Macaca mulatta: one gene and its partners. The main gene of each other region encodes a partner of the protein of the gene in region 3 in a complex. Links are inferred from orthologs where the notes say so. Each region holds a gene or a part of one and is shown on either strand. Other genes may lie near its edges.

Region 1 (3,750 bases), on a different chromosome or scaffold from region 3:
AAAACGACTGTCAATTACCGGAAGCTGCACAGGTAGCACTCCTGAACACAGCATCTACGCAAGTGTGGTAAGCTTCGCTAGAGCAAATTTGTACAGCCTCAGGCACAGTATGTGTGGCTACTGATTGGGTCAAATGCATGCTTTTCTACATCAGGAAAAAGAATCAGGAAGTTCACATTTACATGGAACAGACAATGATATACACTCACAAGTCTGTCACACTCACAGGACCATGGTAATTCTCCTGATCTCTGTCATAATATATTCTGAATACATCAGGGACATCTGGATATCCCAGAGAACATCACAATGATCCATTACTTCAGCACTGGCAAACTATGGCCTGTGGGCCAGATCCAGTCCACCACGTGCTTTTTTATGGCTTCCAGGCAAATAATGATTCTGACAATTTTTTTTTTTTTTTGAGATAGAGTCTCGCTCTGTTGCCCAGGCTGGAGTACAATGGCACGATCTCAGCTCACTGCAACCTCTGCCTCTTGGGTTCAAGCGATTCTCCTGCCTCAGTCTCCTGAGTAGCTGGGATTACAGGTGTACGCCACCATCCCTGGCTAATTTTTGTATTTTTAATAGCGACAGGGTTTCGCCATGTTGGTCAGGCTGGTCTCAAACTCCTGACCTCATGATCCCGCCCGCCTCAGCCTCCCGAAGTGTTGGGATTACAGGTATGAGCCACTGCGCCCGGCCCATTTTTTTTTTTTTTTTTTTTTTTTTTTTTTGAGACGGAGTTTTGCACTTGTCACCCAGGCTGGAGTGCAGTGGCACTATCTCAGTTCACTGCAACCTCCACCTCCCAGGTTCGAGCAATTCTCCTGCCTCAGGCTCCCAAGTAACTGAGATTACAGGTGCCTGCCACCACACCCAACTAATTTTTGTATTTTTAGTACAGACGGGGTTTCACCATGTTGGCCAGGCTGGCCTTGAACTCCTGACCTTAGGTGATCCTCCTGCCTTGGCCTCCCAAAGTGCTGGGATTACAGGCACAAGCTACAATTTTTTACAATTTTAAATGGTTAAAAAATATATAAATGAATGGTTAAAAAAGACTAGGATGAATAAGTAGAGCACAGGGGATTTTTAGGGCAGTGAAAATATTTGGTGTAATACCATATTGGTGGGCTCATGTCACTATAAATTTATTCAAACCCATAGGCTATACAACACCAAAAAGAAACCCTAAGGTAAACGATGGAGTTCAAGTGATAACGATGCGCCAAGGTTCATATATTGTTACAAATGTGCCTTCCAGTGCAGGATGTTGACAGTGGCTGTGCACGTGTGGTGGCAGGGAGTATATGGGAATGCTGTACTTTTGACCAATTTTGCTGTGATCCTAAAAACTGCTCTAAAAAATAAAGTTTATTATTATTTTTAATCAAAAGAAGGCTATTTTGTGATACATGAACAGTATATGAAATTCAAATTTCAGTGTCCATAAATAAAGCTTTATTGGAACACAGTCATGCCCATTTGTTTATGTCTTGCCTGTGGCTGCTTTTGCACTACAATGGCAGTTGAGCAGCTAGGAAAGACGCCATATGATCCCAAAAGCCTAAAATATTTACTATCTGGCCCTTTACTGAAAGGGTTTGCCAGCCCCTGCATTCCACTGATGGCCCTGCAGCAATCAGCCAGGATGAGCGAGTGATGGAAACACACTGCAGGGCTTGGTAAGACATGTGTGCTCCAGACGTTGGCAATCAACCCTATGAAGGCCCAGGGACTGCATGTCATTCAAGTTTGTAGGGGTCCAGTGGTCAGTGGCACACTGGGATAGCCTATCAAGTAAAAAACAAATCTACTGCGTTTTGCATCCTCTACAGAGAAGGAAACTCAATGCCTCTTAGACCACTTTGGGTCCTAGTACATCCCGCATTAGGAATACTATTCAGGCTGACACAAAAAGCTGCCAGCTTTGAGTGGTGCCTGGAACAGGAAAGGACCCAGGCCACAGTGTAAGCAGCCAGGCTACTTGGGCCACATGATCCAGCAGACCCTACGGTTTGGGGGTGTACGTAGTGGAAAAGATGCCATGTGCAGACCACAGTCGCGGGCCACCAGGCCCGATTAATATTTTGGTGTTTTATAGAGATGCGGTCTCTCTATGCTGCCCAGACTGATCATCTCGAACTCCTGGGCTCAAGTGATCCTCCCGCCTCGGCCTCCCTGAATGCTGGGATGACAGGCGCGCGTCGCGGCACCGGCCCAGCGTTTTACTTTCCCATACTCTGCATGAACCTTCCGGAAGAAATGTTTCTATTTCATCAGGAAACCAGCCCTGCTCCGGCCCCTGCTGCGCGATCCCGCCCCGCCCGCCCAGCGCTCACCGCCTCCGGGCTTCTAGGCGCGCCGCGATGCGGAGGCGCCGGGCCTGGATGCGCTCCTGAGGGTTGTCGGAGTGGACCGAGGGCGCGAGAATCTGGGTGGACAAGTGCTCGTCCAGGTTCGGGTCCAGGCCCGCTAGGGACCCCGGCGGATTCATGGCAGGAGTCCCCGGCACCTAGGCGGCTCCCTCCGCACCACCTCCAGACCGCAGGCTGGTTGCTAGCAACAAACCGTTGCCAGGGAGAGCGGTCACCGGTGCCACCGCCCGAGTGGTTGCGCGCGCAGCTCCCTGGGCCCAGCCCGCCGCCAGCCGCCATTCGGGCGGAGCATCCCAGCCTCGGGCTGACGCCTCTCCAGCCGGTGGCTTGTCAGGGCTGTTGTCAGCCCCACGAAGGCCCGGTCGTATTAGCGGAGCTGTGGAGTCTCACCAGGAGACTAGAGGACTAAAGAGCTGGACCAAGCTGTGGTTCATCACTTACTGACCTTGATGATTAATTCATCTTCCATTAATTCATCAAATATTCCTCCAACTCATAGTCACCAAATACAAATACAAATGTTTGTAAAAATACAAAACTTAGCTGGGTTTGGTGGTGGGCACCTGTAATCCCAGCTACTCGGGAGGCTGAGGCAGGAGAATCACTTGAATCTGGGAGGTGGATGTTGCAGTGAGCCGAGATCGAGCCACTGCACTCCATCCTGGGCAAGAGCAAGACTCTGTCTCAAACAAACCCAACCAACCAACCAACCAAATACTGGATACCATTTAACAGGGTTCTGTCCCATTAGCCCTTGGGGAATTAAGGGCACTGGATGAGCAGTGAGAAAGGGTGGGTACTAGTCCTAGCCCTGCCCTGCCACCTTGGGCAAGTCACAACTTCTTGAGGGCCATTTTCTCAGCTGTTAAATGGTGCAACCCACAGACAATTGTGGGGCCAAGAAGATCCACCCTTTGTGAGTAAGAACTGCCCAGAGGCAAATGGAGTGGGTTTTTAAAATCAGTTCTTCCAAGTTTGCAAGCAGTAGTAAGGTTTAGGAATGCCAAAACCATCCAACAGCTATAGAGTCTAACAGCAGCTGCCTGGATCCTTGCCTCACACCTGCCTAGGTGGTGGTGGTAGGAGGAGTGGGGGTAGTTGTTTCTAGGCTTCAGGGTCTTCTGCCAGATCTCTGTCTCCTTTGGTTGAAACCTAAAGCATTAAACTCTCCTAGGAGCCATGGTACAGCTCTGACCAAAAACTCACCCTGGTTCTGGTTCTTGTTTCCACTATCCATAAGGACAGAAACAAGTATGTGTGCATACGCATGTCTATGCCTGGGAGTAGGATACCATGAGAAAGTCAGTGGGAATCAGCTGTTGCACAAGAGATAAGTGAGAGCAAAGGTACCATACAAACCCATGAAAAG
Region 2 (3,750 bases), on a different chromosome or scaffold from region 3:
GCCTCAGGATAGCACAGAGCTGCAGGGAGAGTGAAGGCTGCCTGACAAGGGAGGGCCACCCGTCATACTCTCTCCCCCACATTAATTATTCCAGCCACTCCTGGCTCCAGCAGGACACTAAGAAGTATCCCCAAAGGGAGTCACCCCCAATATTGCCCAGTAAATAATTTAAAAGCAAAAATGTGGGAAACTCAGGAGAAGGTCAAACAAGTCCACTAGAGGGAGCCCCAACCAACTCTATGCTGCAGGGAGCCTCACAAAGCAATGTCTCAACACCTGTCTGAAAATCAACCACACAAGGGAATGGGGAAATGTAGCAATAGATTAAGTAACTAGGAGAGAAGATAGCCATGTAAACACCTAGCTAAAACACAGGCTTTTCAAGAGCTACAAAATCAAACATTTAAAGATCAGGAAACTGATGCTGAGCAAAGTCAAATGGCTTGCCTCAGTTTACATATCCACAGTTGGGACTCAAACTCAAATGTCTTGTCTCTAACCTGAGCACTTTCCTGCACACTTGCATCCCTCTAGGTCAGTACCCTAGAGTCCATGGGTCTGCTGTTCCTTTGTGTCTCATTTCTCTGAAGTGGGAAACGCCCTCGACTACCTATTCCTGTACTTATTACCCTCATTCCACAGTGTACTGAAGAGGATCTTCAGTGGTTTGGGGTTTTTGTTTGTTTGTTTGTTTGTTTGTTTGAGACAGGGTCTCCCTCTGTCATCCAGGCTGGAGTGCAGTGGTGCAATCATAGCTCACTGCTGCCTCAACCTCCCAGGCTCAAGTGGTTCTCCTGCTTCAGCCTCCCGAGTAGCTGAGACTAACAGGTGTGCACCACCCTGCCAGGCTAATTTTTTAATTTTTTGTAGAAATGAGGTCTCACTGTGTTGTCCAGGCTGGTCTTGAACTCCTGGCCTCAAGTAATCCTCCTGCCTCAGCTTCTGAAAATGTTGGGATTATAGGCATGAGCCACCGCCCCCAGCTTAGATCTTCAGTTTTAAACCTACTAATGTCATTTTGCTGATGGGACCTCGGGATGTCAATTGTCCAACATGGCTACTGTCAGTCCTTTTCCTCTGTATCAGCACAACATATTATCTCAGATGTGTACATCTGAATTTGGAAGTCTCCAAATTGCAGGCCATGTCTACGTGGCAATGAATCATAACCAATCGGCCTCCAAAGCCCTTTCTTTTCAAACTATACTTAGGGTTTTGGGATAAGGAAAGAACTGACCCTTTGAGACCTTGATATTTTAAGCTTTGTGAGCTGATTTAGCCCATTCCACCTTCCTACGAACTCCATGTTTCCCAGTTGCCTGGACAACATACAGCCTCCCGAAACCCAACCTTCCAGCCCTCAGTCCTGCCCTCAAGAGAAATTTGTCACCAAGGATTGGCTCCCAGGACCCAGGCCCCGCCTCAGGCTCCTCGCTAGTTGGGCCTTCTCTCTGCCACTCCCCACGGGTGGGTCACTCCACAGGGAGCCCCAACACTGGCAGGAGAGGATCCTACAGGTAGGAAGAGGGGGTTGAGGATGATGGGAAGAGGGAGGGGAGCAGGTACAGGGATTTATCTAAAAGAGAGTTGTGAGGAGTGACTTCCGTACAGTCAGCCTGGTTGAGAGAAAAAACTTCACCCTCCCCGTTGACCCCAACCCTGCCTGAGGTTCCAAAGAGACTGTGAACTGACTTTTCTGAAGAGTATGAGATACAAATTTGGAGTAGAACCAGGAGACTCCCCTGAGACTCCTGATTCAGTCAGGAAAGCATCCCTGTGTCCAGACCTAAACATAAGGTCCCCTCCTTCTCCCAGGACAGCAAGGAGATGCCACTTAAAAACAAAGAAAAAGGGAAGAAATCTGGGGCGCAGAAGAAAAAGAACTGGGGTGAGTCATGGTGGGTGGAGGTGCCCCCTGCTTCTCCATGTTCTGGCATGAAGACCACGCAGAGCTCCTCCAGAGAGAATTCAGCCTTCTACATGACAGGATGGAACTCTCTTGACCTTCCTCTTTCGTGTCCTTGAAGTCAGATGCAGGGAGCTGAGGAAGTGGGGAAATGGTCACTCACGCTCTCCTTTAAGCACCATCTAGCTTTGTGCCTTCCTAATATATTTGTCATGTGTATTTTGCATATCTGTTATGTGCTGGTTGGTAAGGACACAGTGCTGACTTCAGTAGACTCTGCCACCATGGATCCCTCATTTAGTGGTCCTCAGGTCTCCTGTGGCAAAAGTGCAGGGTGTGGGGTGAGGACGCAAGGAGAGTGAGGAATGCTGAGATCACGAAGAGCTGAGGCTCTGCCACTTGCCACAGCAGGTGCAGATGTGGAGGCTGAGTCCAGGCACAGGCTGGTGGTGCTGGAGAAGGAGCTGCTCCGAGATCACTTGGGTAAGGAGGGTAGAAGTTGGCATGGGGGTGGGCAACAGGGCAAGTGAAATGGGGCATTTCTGTATCCTGGGGGATTGGAGAGTTGGAGATACAGTGGGGGGCTAAGTTGAACCCTAACCATCCCCTAGTGGAAAAAGACAATGAGAGAGGGGTGGGCAGTGAGAGTTGATAAAGGAAGCTTTTTTTTTTTTTTTAGACAGAATCTTGCTCTATTGCCCAGGCTGGACTGCAGTGGTGTGATCATAGCTCACTGTAATCTCAAACTCCTGGACCCCAACAATCTTCCCACCTCAGCTTCACGAGTAGCTGGTGCACACCACCCTACCTAGCTACTTTATTTATTTATTTATTTTTCTTTTTTAAAATTTATTTTATTTTATTATTTCATTTTATTTTATTTTACTATCTTTTTTTTTTAAGACAGAGTCCTGTGCTCTGTTGCCCAGGCTGGAGTGCAGTGGCGTGATCTTGGCTCACTGCAACCTCTGCCTCCCAGGCTCAAGTGATTCCCCTGCCTCGGCCTCCCAAGTAGCTGGGATTACAGGCACACAGCCACCACGCCCGGCTAATTTTTGTATTCTTATTAGAGACAGGTTTTCACCATGTTGGCCAAGCTGGTCTCGAACTCTTGACCTCATGATCCTCCCACCTTGGCCTCCCAAAGTGCTGGGATTACAGGCATGAGCCACTGCGCCTGGCCCTATTTATTTTTCTTATAGAGACAAGGTCTCACTCTGTTGCCCAGGCAGGTCTCAAACTCCTGGCCTCAAGCAATTCTCCCACCTAAGCCTCCCAAAATATTGGGATTACAGGCATGAGCCACCATGCCGGGCTATCCGGAAAGCTATTTTGTATAGGCAGAACATGGAGAGAGTCTTTACTTCTTAATAATGAGGAGCCTGTGAGACTCTAGGGATAAAAAACAAAAACAACAAAACCCAGAGAGAGAATAAGAGGCTGGACGCCCCGCCACCAGATTTCTAGAGACGGGCAAAATTCATCAAGTTCATGGGGGCTGATTTAGCGGGCCCCAGCCAGTCCTGACAGTGGCTCTGGGACTGCTCACAGCTCTACGGAGGGATGAAGCCCGTCGAGCCAAGGCTTCCGAAGACCAGCTGAAGCAGAGGCTGCAAAGGGTGGAGGCTGAGCTGGAAGGGGCCCGAAGTGAAGGGAAGGCCATATATGCAGGTGTGTGGTCTGTTGAGCAGGTGGGCAGGAGACAGGGGCCTGGAGGAAGACAACCAGCAGGGTCAGATGATGCAAGGAAGGGAAACAAGGAGGGCTTCCAACTGCCAGGCCTGGTCTTGGTCTTCCCCGAACAGTACAAATCAGGCAGGATCCTGCAGGAATCAAAGGCAGGT
Region 3 (3,750 bases):
AGGCAATTTTTATAATCTTTTTTCACCTTCATGCAATTACATAAACATTTTCATGACTAAAAATAAATTAGCCAATCACAGCCAGAAAAGTCATAAGCATAATAGCAGTCAACTATATTTAAACTATTAATGGAATTGTACATATTTGGATCACATTGTTAAGCCCCAGACAAAAAGAAAAAGCTGAAATATTTTACTCTCTTGGACACAGACCTATGAATATGAAATGTTTAAGGGCTAAAGACCTAACTAATATCTTTGATATTTTGAGTACTTTGCACTGAGAACTTAAAAGATTTCTCTACCTGTATACCTTACTTCTTGGTTCCTTTCATAGCTCACTTTTTCTACTCCTTTTTTTCATTTATGTAGCTGTAAAATTTGTCTCCCTGGAATGAATGAATGTGTCTTCTGTTCTTGTTTAAGAGAGGATGTTACTCAAAGAGCTTTGGAGCAAGCTCTGAATGTAAAGCAACCTGCTAGGTTTCTGGAGAATACGTAACAGGGTGTGTTTCTTACCGGGGTCTTCCCAGGGCAGGTGTCATTCCTTTAGAAAGCAATTGCCTCTTTTATAAGTTCCTCCAGTTGTGTGCATGGGCACTTAGGAATCAGATTTTTGAAAACATCTTTAATGCAGCTGCCAGAAATTTCCAAATTTAGGTTAAAACCGTACTCTTATGTCATCTTATGTCTCTTGGCTATGGTTCTAAAACTTCCCATTGAAATGATTCTGTTGCCTGTGTGCCCACTCCTAAGAACCTTTCCACAGCTAAGTAATATTACCTTATTTCAAAAACTTTGCAAATCAACCTCAGTGGGGGAGAATTACTAAAAGCATTTAGCTAATACAGGGTAACCTATAATAATACTTTGTACAATCTTTTTAAAACTTTTCAAAGTAACGATGCTTTAAGTTTTTAATCCTTGTTTGAAACTTGTGGAATACAAAAAGAGAACTCCACGTGAGAGATAAGTAATTGAGGAAATAGGTTAAAAGGCTGATCTGATATTGCTGACATAGCTTGTTTGCAGCAGTCAGAACAGAGTTGTGCTTTCTCTTGGACTGTGTCAACATCAGTGTTACATAATATCAAATAATGGTAAAAACCCACAGATGTGCTGGCTTCAGCAGCACATATACTAAAACCCACAGATTAAAGCTGATTAAAAACTAATATGTAGATATGCAATTAATAACCCATACTTCCTAGCATAAAATTGAGGGAGCATCTTTTTTGGCATAGCATAGTTTAAGAATTCCTCCATTGTGCAAATTTGATTAAAGAAATATCTTTCTGAGACATTGCAGGGACATTCTTTCTATTCAGATAGTTCTAGTTTCTATTTAATTTGCCCCTGACTAAGTCAAATATTGAGATAAGTCCAGAGTTAATTGGTGGCATTTAGTTCTCTTTTGTTGTTAAATGTCTGGAAACCACAGGAAAGCCACATTTCCTTTGAAAATATTAATATATGTCTGTATTCTTTATAAAACTTTATAAAGCACCACAGATCCTTAAAGTTATGGCCCTGGCTCAAACTCTTAGTTTGACATATGGCCATCTCTGCTTTCTTTTTCCTTTCTAGAGAAAAATTTCTTAATTTCTTATAAAAAAAAAATCTCATCTCTCAGGGTTGTTTCATATAACTTTACATTTTATATCTCATCAAAAAACTATTGGTTTGATTAAATTTAGGCAGAAATTTTATGTAGTCAGTACTTGATTTGGCTTCTTTTTTTTGTTTGTTTTTTGTTTTGTTTTTGAGACAGAGTCTTGCTCTTTCGCCCAGGCTGGAGTGTAGTGGCGTGATCTAGGCTCACTGCAACTTCCGCCTCTCAGGTTCAAGCGAGTCCTCTGCCTCAGCCACCCGAGTAGCTGGGATTACAGGCGCTCACCACCACAGCCAGCTAATTTTTGTAGTTTTAGTGGAGATGGAGTTTTACCATGTTGGCCAGGCTGGTCTCGAACTCCTGACCTTATGATCCACCTGCCTCGGCCTCCCAAAGTGCTAGGATTACAGGCATGAGCCACTGCTCCCGGCCTGGCTTCTTTTTTAAATCATGATTATTTAGACAGAAGAACTACTGATGTATTTGGAAATATTTGTAGTTGGAATAAGAATCAGAAGATGGTTTGTTGCTTGTTTACATTGTTATTGAGATTCAGCTAGTGAACATACTTGCAACAAATGGAGAAAACTTGTCAAGTTCTTGATTTGTTGTTTTTCCTGCTTGAGGCTGAAGGTCACGCTGCTTGCTCTTCACTGCTGTATGTTGACTTTTCCACTGTTAATTCTGAGGCTCCTTTAGATGGTGTTACATTGTCAAGCTCTGTAAGAGGGTCTCCTTCCCTATCATAGCCAAACCAACGTGGAGGGTCATTAGAGTTGTATTCCTGCTGCTGAACTTTAGATGACATTCTCTGAGCTGCCTTCCTGTAATAACAGTGCTTAGCATTAGCTAGTTGCAGAAGTAATCCCTAGTGCAGAATTTTCAAACTCAACCAAATTTGGAGTTAGAGAATTCACTGTCACAATTTGAATTCACATCAGACCTCTCTTGCCTTGCTGAGAGTGAGGAGATGGGTAAATGTACAAATAAAGAGGGTCCCAAAGCCTCAGTAGCTCTGATTCAACCACTTCAGAAATTAACAGATACAGTGAATGGGTAAGGAAACTACACATGGCCATGGAAGAGGAACACTGAGGCCTCTATTTATTTACACTGCTTTGAGTAAGCCCCTTCCTTGGTATTTCTAGTTTCTCTGATGAGGGAGTAACCTAACCACCCTACCTGTGAAGGCTGACCATGCACCAGGCCAGGAGCTCTTAACCCAGAGTTCACAGATCCCTTTCACAGATCCCTTTTGACTACATGGATGAACTTCAGGGAGGTCCATGTACTCCCTGAAAGTTCATGCAGTTTTGTCTATAATACACATTTTTATGAGGTTTGTGACTCAAAGGTGTCCATGACCAAAGTGATTAAAAAATACTGTTATAGTCTTTCTTAGGAGGAAATAAGAAAGTAAAGAAGGCATCAGAAAAAAAGTATGTCTAACTTGAAAACAAAGCCATTGTGAGGACAGAAGGAAGAATTTCCTTTCCTAGAAAGTTGGTTTGAATCACGAGATTAGTACTAAAAAGGAGATGAGCAATTGACCACTTCTGTAGGATTAGAAATTAGTAACTGTGATGTTTACCCATGAAGGCACTACCTTCTCCACTCTTGCTGTATGTTACATTGAGTTATTAATTGCAAAAGTCTGGAAACTGAGTCATTGATATGGAGCTGGCATTACCATACACTTTGAGTTAAGTTTGTGCTGAATGGCGATATGAGTTCAGGTAAGGCAATGAAATAGGAAGAAAAAACCCCAACAACACAGAGATAGCAGTTTAAATTGCTGTTACAGTTAAGTTGAACTTTAGATGTATTAAAATAATTGTAACCAAACTCAACAGGGAGATAACCAAAGCATTGCTAATTCTGCCTCTAAGCACATTGCTTTTTAACTGATATATCTGCTCTCACACAAAACTTCTACATACTTAAAGAACAAATTGAGTAAAAGCAATGATCATATACTAATTTCTAGTTTGAAGCCACCAATCCCTATGGACTAAAACTTGGCAAACAAGTTTATTCTCTTCAGAGAAATATTTATTCTCAGTTTTGAAAATGATAAGTTTATTGTCAAAGATAATGTTTTGCATTCTGTTAATTTTTTTATCTTTTTTAAAGGTGCT

The links. Proteins that work in one complex are often made in the same cells at the same time.
Region 1: FBXL13 (region 3) and DRC1 share a complex: the UniProt entries of both Homo sapiens proteins name them as parts of the nexin-dynein regulatory complex. The link is inferred for Macaca mulatta from reciprocal best matches to the Homo sapiens genes FBXL13 and DRC1.
Region 2: FBXL13 (region 3) and DRC12 share a complex: the UniProt entries of both Homo sapiens proteins name them as parts of the nexin-dynein regulatory complex. The link is inferred for Macaca mulatta from reciprocal best matches to the Homo sapiens genes FBXL13 and DRC12.

The regions. Positions count from the first base shown.
Region 1 is NC_133418.1:98,606,291-98,610,040, forward strand, and holds the start of DRC1 (dynein regulatory complex protein 1), read right to left. Parts: upstream 2,571-3,750; 5' UTR 2,501-2,570; coding exon 2,346-2,500; intron 1-2,345. UniProt on the Homo sapiens protein: Component of the nexin-dynein regulatory complex (N-DRC) a key regulator of ciliary/flagellar motility which maintains the alignment and integrity of the distal axoneme and regulates microtubule sliding in motile axonemes.
Region 2 is NC_133419.1:119,883,569-119,887,318, reverse strand, and holds the start of DRC12 (dynein regulatory complex protein 12), read left to right. Parts: upstream 1-1,259; 5' UTR 1,260-1,304; coding exon 1,305-1,517; intron 1,518-1,815; coding exon 1,816-1,888; intron 1,889-2,314; coding exon 2,315-2,389; intron 2,390-3,457; coding exon 3,458-3,577; intron 3,578-3,750. UniProt on the Homo sapiens protein: Component of the nexin-dynein regulatory complex (N-DRC), a key regulator of ciliary/flagellar motility which maintains the alignment and integrity of the distal axoneme and regulates microtubule sliding in motile axonemes.
Region 3 is NC_133408.1:142,505,539-142,509,288, forward strand, and holds the end of FBXL13 (F-box and leucine-rich repeat protein 13), read right to left. Parts: intron 2,437-3,750; coding exon 2,247-2,436; 3' UTR 93-2,246; downstream 1-92. UniProt on the Homo sapiens protein: Substrate-recognition component of the SCF (SKP1-CUL1-F-box protein)-type E3 ubiquitin ligase complex.